Linked DNA regions of Drosophila melanogaster. Changing the gene in region 1 together with any one later gene gives a genetic interaction. Each region holds a gene or a part of one and is shown on either strand. Other genes may lie near its edges.

Evidence for each region.
Region 2: of tut (region 1) and Cpsf5, changing one enhances a phenotype caused by changing the other (phenotypic enhancement), as found in Drosophila melanogaster (one study listed by BioGRID).
Region 3: of tut (region 1) and Cpsf73, changing one enhances a phenotype caused by changing the other (phenotypic enhancement), as found in Drosophila melanogaster (one study listed by BioGRID).

The regions. Positions count from the first base shown.
Region 1 is NT_037436.4:8,209,130-8,212,882, forward strand, and holds tut (tumorous testis), read right to left. Parts: upstream 1,615-3,753; 5' UTR 1,543-1,614; coding exon 1,429-1,542; intron 1,363-1,428; coding exon 1,184-1,362; intron 1,129-1,183; coding exon 729-1,128; 3' UTR 448-728; downstream 1-447. Other genes in the region: CG8006 (uncharacterized protein), read left to right, coding at 2,836-3,753. UniProt on the Drosophila melanogaster protein: RNA binding protein that forms a complex with bam and bgcn, involved in 3'UTR-dependent regulation of a subset of mRNAs. Preferentially binds a long isoform of mei-P26 transcripts.
Region 2 is NT_037436.4:9,408,925-9,412,677, reverse strand, and holds the start of Cpsf5 (cleavage and polyadenylation specific factor 5), read right to left. Parts: upstream 1,641-3,753; 5' UTR 1,403-1,640; coding exon 1,257-1,402; intron 1,200-1,256; coding exon 935-1,199; intron 862-934; coding exon 696-861; intron 524-695; coding exon of another isoform or gene 489-523; exon of another isoform or gene 1-488. Other genes in the region: CG4022 (uncharacterized protein), read left to right, coding at 2,712-3,158, 3,246-3,415, 3,487-3,753.
Region 3 is NT_033777.3:18,661,928-18,665,680, reverse strand, and holds the start of Cpsf73 (cleavage and polyadenylation specificity factor 73), read left to right. Parts: upstream 1-2,128; 5' UTR 2,129-2,225; coding exon 2,226-2,293; intron 2,294-2,349; coding exon 2,350-2,511; intron 2,512-2,573; coding exon 2,574-3,753. Other genes in the region: CG31231 (uncharacterized protein), read right to left, coding at 1-227; Gos28 (golgi SNARE, 28 kDa), read right to left, coding at 511-613, 684-1,072, 1,614-1,798, 1,864-1,885. UniProt on the Drosophila melanogaster protein: Component of the cleavage and polyadenylation specificity factor (CPSF) complex that plays a key role in pre-mRNA 3'-end formation, recognizing the AAUAAA signal sequence and interacting with poly(A) polymerase and other factors to bring about cleavage and poly(A) addition.

The DNA.
Region 1 (3,753 bases):
TAATTGCATTATGCCGCAGGTTGTCGCATTGCCCTGAAAGTCCTGGCTGCCACTCCGCCACTCCAAAGACACTGCATTAATTTGCATGTGAAAAACTGCAGCTTCGCTGCGCTGTCGGTGTTGTTTTTTTTATTTTTTTTTATTTTTATGGCTGCTCGCTGTTTTTGCCCAGAGTTAATGAAGTCAACAAGCTGCGGCTGCATTTCATCAGAGTGAGAAGCGGCGGGCCAAAAGGATTTGCCAGGAACAATGCTGTGTATAATTTCCCCCTGTCCTAACAACTGGTGAAAGTTTATGTTACATTCGCATGGGCAGCAACATAATTTACTGCCCAGAGAGCCACAGGAATTCCAAAATCCGCTTGGTTAGTTTTTTTTTAAGGTATAGTATGCATTCTAAAAGTGATTTGATATTTGGCTTTAAAATTTCATTAAAAAATCAGAGATTAACTTTGCAAAACACATATTCTTGTTTTCAAATTCCACGTATTACAAAAACTTACACAAATCAAGCAATAAACATCTTCATTCATATCTAAATGGTTGACTTATTTAAGAGTACTCTTATTTTACTTATAAACTTATTTAACAATAGAAAAAATATAACTAAAGTATTAAAGTATTTTATACATTTTCGTCCTACTTACGTGTAGTACAAACAAAACATTTGGAGCCTTATGGATTTGGTAGCATGAACCAATAAAGTAACATACTTGATACCACTTCCATTTAAAACTTGAAACAGCCCTTTTGTCTGGGAGGAACGCGTCGAGTACGATTTTGGCTTACTTCCCGTTGAAAACAGAAGCTACCGCTGGCTCTGCTCAAGATGTTCTCCGCAGTCAACCAGGAGATGTGCGCATGCTCACCGAATTTTCTGATCGAATTCCTTACTCTCTGATGGGCACTTGCGGCCGAGTCGTTGTTGCGGTACTCAAATATATAGAAGAACTGGTCTAATTGATACTCGTAGACTCGAACGATGGTAAAGGGATGTATCTTCAACATCTCCTGGTACACTTGCCATGGTCTAAGCGACGATTCTACGTTTTTGAGCACCAGCTCGCGATTGTTGGTCGATGGCTCCACCCTTAAGCACATGCAAAGCTGTCGGAATCGCATTGGCAGACTGGGATTATTAGGGTTAGTGCTGTTTTATGTGAAAATTATTACGAAGTACGTACTATTGCATTGCCGATTCCTTGAGGTCCACATTGATATATTGCAAGTAGGCGTAGCCGCGAGAATTTCCCGAAAAATCAATCTTATAGCGCATAATGTAAACTTCACCCAGTTCGCTGGCCACTTCCACAATCCACCGCGGAGAACAACTGTGATTCCTCGGTATACACGAGAGAAACAGCTAGAAGCAAAAACGTATTAGTGTCTCCGTAAACTTTTGAGACTAGATGCTTCACTAGACACTCACCTCGCCCTTTCCCTCATCCAGTAAGGATTTTAGATTTTCATCAAGGACTTTGCGCGTAGTTATGGTAATAGTGCCATTTACTTGACTGGTGCAGTATTTGCTCTCGAAATCCATTTTAAAAATAGCAAAAAAAAAAAAATACACAGCATACACGCGTGCATCAAAAAAAAAAAAAAAAGCTAAGATGCCAATGATTTAGTGTGACCAAATAAGCTTTAAAACATACAACGCTCGCGACGTTGCCAGATAGTCAATGAAGTTGGTAAAATTCTTTATACTTAACACTTAGGTAAAGTAACGGAGGGGCATAAACTTATTATTGTTTATGAACTTGTTTGAATGTTTAACATTTGTGTAAAATAGAGAGTGTTTTCATATTATATTTTTGCGTAAGAGGTCTTTTTTTGGCATTGCTGCGAACTCAGCTCTATACGAAGGTATTCTATTTTTGCTATGTACTTTATGCATTTACTTTACTCTTTTTCCAAACCGCTTTTTGCATGTCAGGCAATTTCTTTGCTCTTTATTTTTGCTTTCTTTTGACAGGCTGCGCGTGCTTTTTTCTAGCTCATGTTTAACAATATAAATTTATGCAGGCAGTCGGTCGTTTGCAACTTTTGCTCACAGTTCGCCACAAGCCGCAGCACCTATGTATGTATGTATGTAGGTTCGCATCGCATTCGCTGTTGTTGTTGCTGCGGTTAAGCCGCCCATCCGCCACCCACTCCACCACCCACTCACCCCACCAGGGGGCATCTTGATGGAGGTTGCGGTGCACTCAAGTGCCTGCTGCCGCTGCTGCTGCTTCATTTTCCTAATTTATACGCGCGCTGCGCTAATGAAAATTTACGTGGCAACCGCATACTGTTTTGTTGCTACTGCTGTTACACTAATAATTCATTGTTTCGAAATGGCCATAAGCAAATTACTGACATTAAACTATTTGTGGGAGGTAACATGTTGTTAGATTAATACACAACAGTTTTCTTAAATGAAGTGGTAAATGCAAAAGCTATCACTGTGAAGTCCAGTTTAGTCCACGTAGTGTAGAGACGCACCAGGTAAGAGTGTTTCGACAAGAAAATCCATTAAGTTCTTTGAAAAGTAAGCTCTGATATTCTTTGTTTAAAGTGTAGTGTCGCTGCTCCTTGTGCTTGTTGCCAGACGTGGGCCCACCACTTGAAGCATCTCTGAGAAACCCTGAGCTCCACTTTTGACCCCCCTCCCCTTTCTGCGGTTGAGAGACGTTTGGTGACAGTCGCCGAGTAAGGCCACTAGTCCCACTTATATTTCCGCATTTCCTTACCCGATTTGAGTAAGCGGTTTCATTTTATTCAAATCATTAAAATTACAAATATTTTTTGGGAACAAAATCAGTTGATTCCGGTTGAATATGCGAATGTGGCCATGAAGGATCTAAGCGAGGAGTTACTGGATCGCCATTTCAGGCAGCAGCTAGCCAGTTACAAGTATGCCGATCAGGCAAGGGCTAAGCAGTCGGATCGCCCCATCATGGCCAGATGGATAAAGATATTCGAGAAGGCTCCTCTCAGCGAGAAGTTGGCCCGAAATAGCCTGATGCTGCTCATGCATGGCCACTTGAAGGACTTTGGAGTGCTCAAGGAACCGTTCACGGATGTGCGTAACTACAGTAGGAATCTGAACGTAATTTTGGATGAGTACAGAGGCCAGCCATGTAAGAAGTTAGCTACTGGCAAATCACCTACACTGCTCAAGAAGTGCTCGACTCAAATTTTACGACCCAGGAAACTGGAACCCATCAAGGAGGTTTCCGAACAATCGGAAAATGATCCTACGACCAGTAGTTTTGCCAGCATTGTGACAATAATACGAAAAACAAATACGCGATCCTCTGACTCGAAGGATAGCCAAGTTTATCCAAGGACTGGCTTCGAGTCCCCAAATGGTGCTGATAGTCACACTGTGAAGAAGAGAGTCGAACTATTGGAGTATGAGCTCTCGAGAAATAAGCAGCATCCATCGAGCTCCACATTCAATCGGGATGCACCTGACAGCGGAAGAACCCATTCCTCCAGTTCCTTATCCCAAGAGAAACTCATCAAGATCACCAATGTCATAGATCAGGTCAACCGCCGATCAAGTGCTGTGAAAAATCTGAGGGATTGCTTTGAGGAAATGGCCGAACGTTTGAAAAACACAATCGAATCAAAATATAAATCGAAGATTCCGCCGCCAAAGCCGCCAAAGAAGATTCATAAGGATGTTCCTGCCGAGCGAGCCAGTGCCCAATGCCATTCTCCTATTGGCGTTACGGACCCAACTGTTCAGGGATTGCTGATGCGT
Region 2 (3,753 bases), 1.2 Mb from region 1:
CAGCCAGCAACGTTACAATGCTCTTCTGCTGCCTGCCCGATGGATTGGATTGCTTTCGATAAATACACAACAACCTTAAGATGAACGACACATGACACTTCACAAAAGTAAGAATAGAAGCTAGGAAATAAATAAAATATGTAAATAGAAGGATAACATTGCTGCGCTCAGTCTCACAAGTATGTCGACATATTTACAAAATTAAGTACAAGAACAATCTTTGAATTTCGAATGATAAAAATCGGGAAATAACAAAATATGCCAACACTCAGTCCTGAGCAAAAATACAATTTGAATTTGATTTTCGACATGTTGTACAATTGGACTAGAATCAAAACTAACTAAGGAGTCGCCTGCGCCAGCTTTTGCGATCTGTTTGTTTCTTTTCTGTTTGATCTGTTCTGTTTGCTCGATTTGTTGTTCTATGGCATTGCACTCTTGAGATTAGAGTTGGGTAGATACGACACACACGGCGCTAATGGAACTGCTCAGGGTACATCGTAACTGGCGTTCCCGTCCGTATCTAAACAGCATTGAAAAGATATGACATGAGGTTTGTTAGCGTATTCGGTTTTTGGCAAACAAAAACAATCTATAGGTTATATAAAGTACATGGAGAGATGGATATTCTGGATACACGGTGTGCTCGTTATACCTACGCGTAGGGACTTACAAAACGCCCTGCGGATATTTACCCTTTTCATGTAGCTGGACGAGGAAAAGCCGCTTGTGCTCCTTGGGCTTGGTGATGTGCGGCGGAATGTATGGATATTGCGGTGGCTCAAAGTTCGGCCGCCACCAGTTCCCAATCGTGTCCTCAACAATCCACTCCTGCTTTACGCCGTCCTGACGACCCAGCGTCTACGAAATAATAAAAGTAGTGATAGTTAAGATCAAATAACAATATTTAACTATGGCGCCACGTTTGACTTACCTCGGATAGCAATCTCTTGAGGCCCTCGACCTCATCCTCGCCGGCGTTTAGCTCGCCACCGGGCAATTTGAAGAACGTGGTGCCCAGCTGCAGGAGCAAGACATGTGGCAGTCCGTGCTCGTGGACCAGAAGCACTCCCTCGACGGAGCGCCGCATTCCGATCCGGTCGAATTCCTCGCGCATCCGCTGGAATCGGGATGGCACCGACGGATCCTTCTCAAAGAGCGGCTCCTTGGTGCCGAATGTGTAGTTCGTAAGGGGGTATCTGAAACAATCGATCGATCTATGATGTGCGTCTATGAATGAAATGTGTTGTACCCACAAGTTGATGGTGCGATTGATGGTTAGCGCCTGGTTGGTGTACTTCTGGGTACCGTTGTTATTGCTGCTGGCTGCATCCGCTTGGCCTTGGCTTCCGCGGCGCGGCCAACCGGAGCCCGATTTGTTTGAGACTTGCGAGGACGCCATTTTGTTATACACACACCCCTGTGGGAAAATTTGCGGGACAAGCTGGCCGACTTTCTACCAAATCCTTTGGTTGTGCGTTGGAAACTTGTATTCCAATAATATTATAATCCTTAACTGTTTATTTACAAGTTATACTATAAATGTAAACCCGTTTTAAGCCGCTTAATTACACTTTTCTGTCCAGCGCTTGTGCAAAAAAATTAACCGGCTGGACGAGGGCTGCACGTGAATTGATTGATGATGAGCAGAACTGGTTCGTTGAACTAGATTATGGAATTAATCGATTTCGTACTTTGTGTGAAATAAACTTGTAATGACCTTTTGCTTAATATTTATTAAAGATTTATTCAATTTTTTGTTTTATTTTTAAATGCAGTTTTAAATTATTGTTTGTTTACATATGTAACGACAGCCCTGGTGTTTCTTGTCTAATGGCAACGCTCTGAAATTGCGCAGCAACCCCATCTGGCCACACTGACCCATTAGTTTTTTGTTTATGTTGGGTTGTCGGAAAAATCGGCTGTTTTCCGTGTGTCCGTCTGCCATGAAAAGCTGCTAAAAAGCTAAATATAAAAATCAGCGCAGCACACACGTTCCGCTGCCTGCATTGTTTGCCCATTCTAATGGGAAATTATGTGAGTGCGAGTCAGGAAAACGCATCGTGTGTGTATATATACATATATACATAAGTATGTAACTGCGCCCGTTTGTTTGTGTGTGTTTTTGTGTGCATGGTGCAATGGAAAAGTGATTATTATAAATGAAAATCAGTGAAATGTGTAAGTGTGGCACCGCAAACGCTTTGAACTTTTCCATTTTCATGTTTTCACCTTGTCTTCTCTTCTCTTCTTCACCCACCTCCCCCGTAGTCAACCAACTCCCACTTGTGCGTGTGTAGGAAGGCAGAAGGGTGTTTTGCATTCGTGTGCGTGCCAGATAAAAAGACTTTGAATTTCTGGAGGATATTAGTGTCAACTGTGTGGGGTATAATACGCCGTAGGCCCTAATATGCAGGCAAGTCCATTAATTACGCCAAAGGTCACAGGTTAGGCACGCAGCCAGGATCCAAGGAGCAATAATAATGTTGTATGAAGGCGACCTGTAAGCGAGAGCGAGAGAGCTGGTGTTTTGGTGTGAGTGCGTGGTAGAACAAAGAGGACGAAAAACACGGCTAACGAATTCGCCGCACGACACACTCGCCGCATGGCGAATTCAAACGTATCCCAGTGAACGAATGAGAAACAAAAGGATATCTTATTGAAACTGATTAAACTAAAGACTGCCGAATAGTTATATAAAATCCAAAACCATGTCTGCGGCCGAACTCGAGGCGGAGGCTTCAGCCCAGGAGCAACAATCCCAGCAACAACAACAAAATCAATCACAAAGCGAGGAGATAAATACAAACACTGCCATCAATGCAAATGCAACCACAACAAATAGCTACAACAATAATTTAGATACGGAAACCCAGCTTCAGATGCACCAGGATCCGCAGCAGCAGCAGGAACTCGAGGGCAATAGCAACAATGGCATCACAGGACTCGGCCTCAGTCTGATGAACTCCTCACCGCCGCCGCACAGCTACCGACATTCGCGGGCCTATCGCCACTTCAAGAATCCGCCACAGCCCCACATGTGCATCCGCACCACCACGGAGGCGGGCGAGGAGCTCTTCATCAATGTCCTCAGCTGGACGCGCATTGTGATACCGCAGGAGCCCAGCGATCCCATTCCCCTTTACGGAGGCATGCGGGTAAGATTCCTTAGATTAAGTGTCCTCAAACATTCACGTCGGTGTTTCCTTTATTAGTTATTTATGTTAATGTTCTTATTCATTAAGGTACCGCCTGGCAGCCCACGCAGTCCTCCCATTGTCTTTGCCGTAATGGCCAATCCGGAGGTGCTCAAAGACTCCGGACGTCACAGCAAAGATCCTGAGGAGCGACGAGCTATGGTGGAGCTGATGTGCGACTTTGTGGAGGCTATGAATCCAGGCGTGAAATTAGTCAGGTATATAATAACACTATTAGTTTACTGCCCGATTAAAAACAAGAATAAAAATATATGTAATACATCTCCAGAAACGCCGTAATACTCAAGGATCGCGATATCTCCGGCGAGCTGAAGGATGTCTGGAATGCCGTTCAGGCGCAGCGCGATCGCGAGAGGGAGGAGCAGATGATGCAGCAGCGCCAGCAGCAGCACTACCAGAACATCACCACGCAACAGATGTTTCCCAAATCGCCGGATGCATCGCGGGCAGCTAGTGCTGGTGCTGCAGTGAACGAGGCCAGCTCGCCGCCGGCTCACTTGTCTGAGCCGCTGCTGGTAGAGCAGGGAAATGGCAA
Region 3 (3,753 bases), on another chromosome or scaffold:
GACTCCTCCCCTTCCTTTGAGGCTTCGTCATCCTCGGCTGGCAACACCGTTTCGCCTTCTCCTTCTATTTGATCTACGTTAGCTGTCTCACCTTGGATTTCTGCACCCTCCGCCGCTTCCGCGATCGTTACTAGTTTGGGAGCATCCTCCGCGGCTGGAATCTCCGCGGGTGGAATCTCCTCGGCATTGTCTATGGGGGCAGCCTCTTCTGGTGCATTTTCAGCCATCTCTGTGCAATTGAAGTCGTTTCAATAACGTAAATGTTTTAAATGTTTTGGGTTTCTTTTTGGTATATACATAAGTTGTTATGTTTGCTGTTTGCCTAAAATTATTAACTGCTGCTTGAGATTAGAATCAATGGCTGTTGGGTTTTGTCTTATATAGTACATTTTATTGCTATCACAAGTTAATCATACACATATACCGTCGGAAAAAACAAACTAAAATTCAATTGTCTGTAATGGAGTTTAATGCAAGCTCTATCTTTGGCCAAATCGCGGTGGCGGGTCACTAGTTGAAGGCGTAGAGCAGCAGCAAGATCACACAGAAGCCAATAACTGCTCCCAGGATCAGCGAATCGCGTCGCTTTTTAATGTTGATGCGCTGAATGAGACTGTGCATATACAACAAATAATTGGATAAGTAAATATGCATAAATTGAATTGAGAACTCGTCTGTCTCACCTGGAAATCAGTGGGAATCGATTGGAGATATCGTTAAAGCGGGTCTGCAGCCGCTTGAATGCTTGTCGCTGGGCGTGAAGATGGTCACGCGTCTCAATCGCGATATTTATCTGATCGTTGACCAAGTGACTGGCGCTGTTGAGGTGCCCGCTCTCCTTCAGGTACATTTCTCGCCGGTTTAGGCCCGAGATGGATGGACTGCCGGAGCTGGTGGCCAACCCTGAGCCACGAAGCAGCTCCTCTCGCTCGATTCGCATTGTGTGATTGGCGCAGATCTTATTGAACTCCTGGCGATACCCCTGCAGGATCTCTCGATGCCTCTGCAGTGTGTGCATGGCGGCTGCTCCAGAGGCGGGCAAATCGGACATGGACTCATTTAGCGAGGATAGCTGCAATTAAGAAGGATGAAATAGAAATGAAATCCTTCTATTCTATAGAAATTCTATAGATATGGGAATTGCCTAAAAAACGTAGATAACTTAACAAGCAAAACAATTTGAACATTTTGTGCTTCAGTCGGTGACTCATTCATTACTTGGAATTATCTATTAAAGTATTTATCAAATGGAATTCATTTAGCGAATTCAAAGAGGAATTCTTAAACATTTTCTTTTAAAGAATTTAGCAAAGATCAGAGCATAAAAAAAACTCGAATAATAAAGTATAATATATATACAGATTCATAAAAAATTGGAAAGTGATGGAATGTTTTCAATATATATAAGTTAATCGTGGCAGTTTTTCAATTGTGTGCTCAATTCTGCCAATTAAATTATGATTTTTGGGAAGGCTTAGTGGGAAATTAGTAATTCATAGTAGCACAAAGCCGGTGGCACAGAAATTTGCTTAATAAATAAATAAGGAATCCGCACTACATTGTTTCGGGTTTAATCCCTGCACCATCGCATGGCATTGGGTCACATATCGCACCTTCTCCAGCATTTGCTCGATCTCCTCCGACAGCGAATCGAAGACGTGCTCGCCCAGGAGCGGCGATGTGTCAACGCCTCCTAGTCCTCCACTTCCACCTCCTCCACTGCCAGCTCCGATTTTGCTGAATGCCACCAGCTTCAGGTCGATCTCGTTTTCCAGGCTCCGCGCCTGCTTCCTGAGCACTGTGCGGGAGGTCGAGAGGAGAGATAGCTTATATGGAAGGTAACCATTAAGTCCCACTGCTCACCATCGTAGCTGGATCCTCCCATTTGTCAAAAATAGTTTTCCTTTATTTGTTCGACTTTCGTGTGGCAATCGGTGTGACCAGGTCAGGCGGGGCCCAAGTGGAATGAGTTGAGAGTATCGGGAAAGATTAATAGCCAGATTTAATCTAGGCCCTACTTAATGAACAAATGTTTACGAGAAAATTAAATTGTCCTAATAACTTAATGTTAATGTAAAAGGAAAAAGTACAATGTTCTTTTCCAGCCCTTGTGTGAACAGGTCCATACCGGCAGTCATCAAACTTTGGTCACACTGCCGTGCACAGCGTTTTGTTGCCGGCGATTTGTAAAAAAGTTTGTTATTGATTACATTATTTTAGACATCATGACGCAGGCAACAGGTGATGCACGCATGCCAGACGAGGAAAGCGACCTGCTGCAGATCAAGCCACTGTAAGGAATCTTGATTTAAACCAGATAGAAGCTCAAGGGTAACGCTTATATTTCAGTGGTGCTGGCCAGGAAGTGGGACGCTCCTGCATCATGTTGGAATTTAAGGGCAAGAAGATAATGCTGGACTGCGGAATCCATCCGGGATTGTCCGGCATGGATGCCCTGCCCTACGTAGATCTAATAGAGGCGGATGAGATTGATCTGCTGTTTATATCACAGTAAGTACTGCGGCGATTAAATGGGCATTGAACTTTTAATGGTGAATGCTTATATTTATCAGTTTCCACTTGGATCACTGCGGTGCCTTGCCTTGGTTTCTCATGAAGACCAGCTTTAAAGGCCGCTGCTTTATGACCCATGCCACGAAAGCCATTTACCGATGGATGCTGTCCGATTACATCAAGATCAGTAACATATCCACCGAACAGATGCTATACACGGAAGCCGATCTGGAGGCCTCCATGGAGAAGATCGAGACGATCAATTTCCACGAGGAGCGCGATGTGATGGGCGTACGCTTTTGTGCCTATATTGCTGGTCATGTTTTGGGTGCCGCCATGTTCATGATCGAGATTGCTGGCATCAAGATCTTGTATACTGGTGACTTTTCGCGCCAGGAGGATCGACATTTGATGGCTGCCGAAGTGCCACCGATGAAGCCGGATGTTCTTATCACAGAGTCCACCTACGGCACTCACATTCACGAGAAAAGAGAGGATCGAGAGAATCGATTTACCTCGCTGGTGCAGAAAATTGTTCAGCAAGGCGGGAGATGCTTAATTCCAGTATTTGCTTTGGGCCGTGCCCAAGAACTGCTACTTATTCTGGATGAATTCTGGTCGCAGAACCCGGATCTGCACGAGATTCCCATCTACTATGCCTCCTCTTTGGCCAAGAAGTGCATGGCTGTCTACCAGACGTACATCAATGCTATGAACGATCGAATTCGACGACAGATAGCTGTGAACAATCCCTTCGTTTTCCGCCACATTTCCAACCTGAAGGGTATCGATCACTTCGAGGATATCGGACCCTGCGTAATCATGGCGTCGCCGGGTATGATGCAGTCGGGATTGTCGCGAGAGCTCTTCGAGAGCTGGTGCACAGATCCCAAGAACGGAGTGATTATAGCCGGTTACTGCGTGGAGGGCACTTTGGCCAAAGCCGTTCTCTCCGAGCCGGAGGAGATCACCACACTGTCGGGCCAGAAGCTGCCGCTCAACATGTCCGTCGACTACATATCGTTTTCGGCTCACACGGACTACCAGCAGACCAGTGAATTCATCCGCCTACTAAAGCCAACGCATGTCGTGCTCGTCCACGGCGAGCAGAACGAGATGTCGCGTCTGAAGTTGGCCCTGCAGCGGGAATACGAAGCAGATGCAAGCACGGATATAAAATTCTACAACCCGCGAAACACACATGCCGTGGATCTTTATTTCCGTGGCGAGAAAACCGCC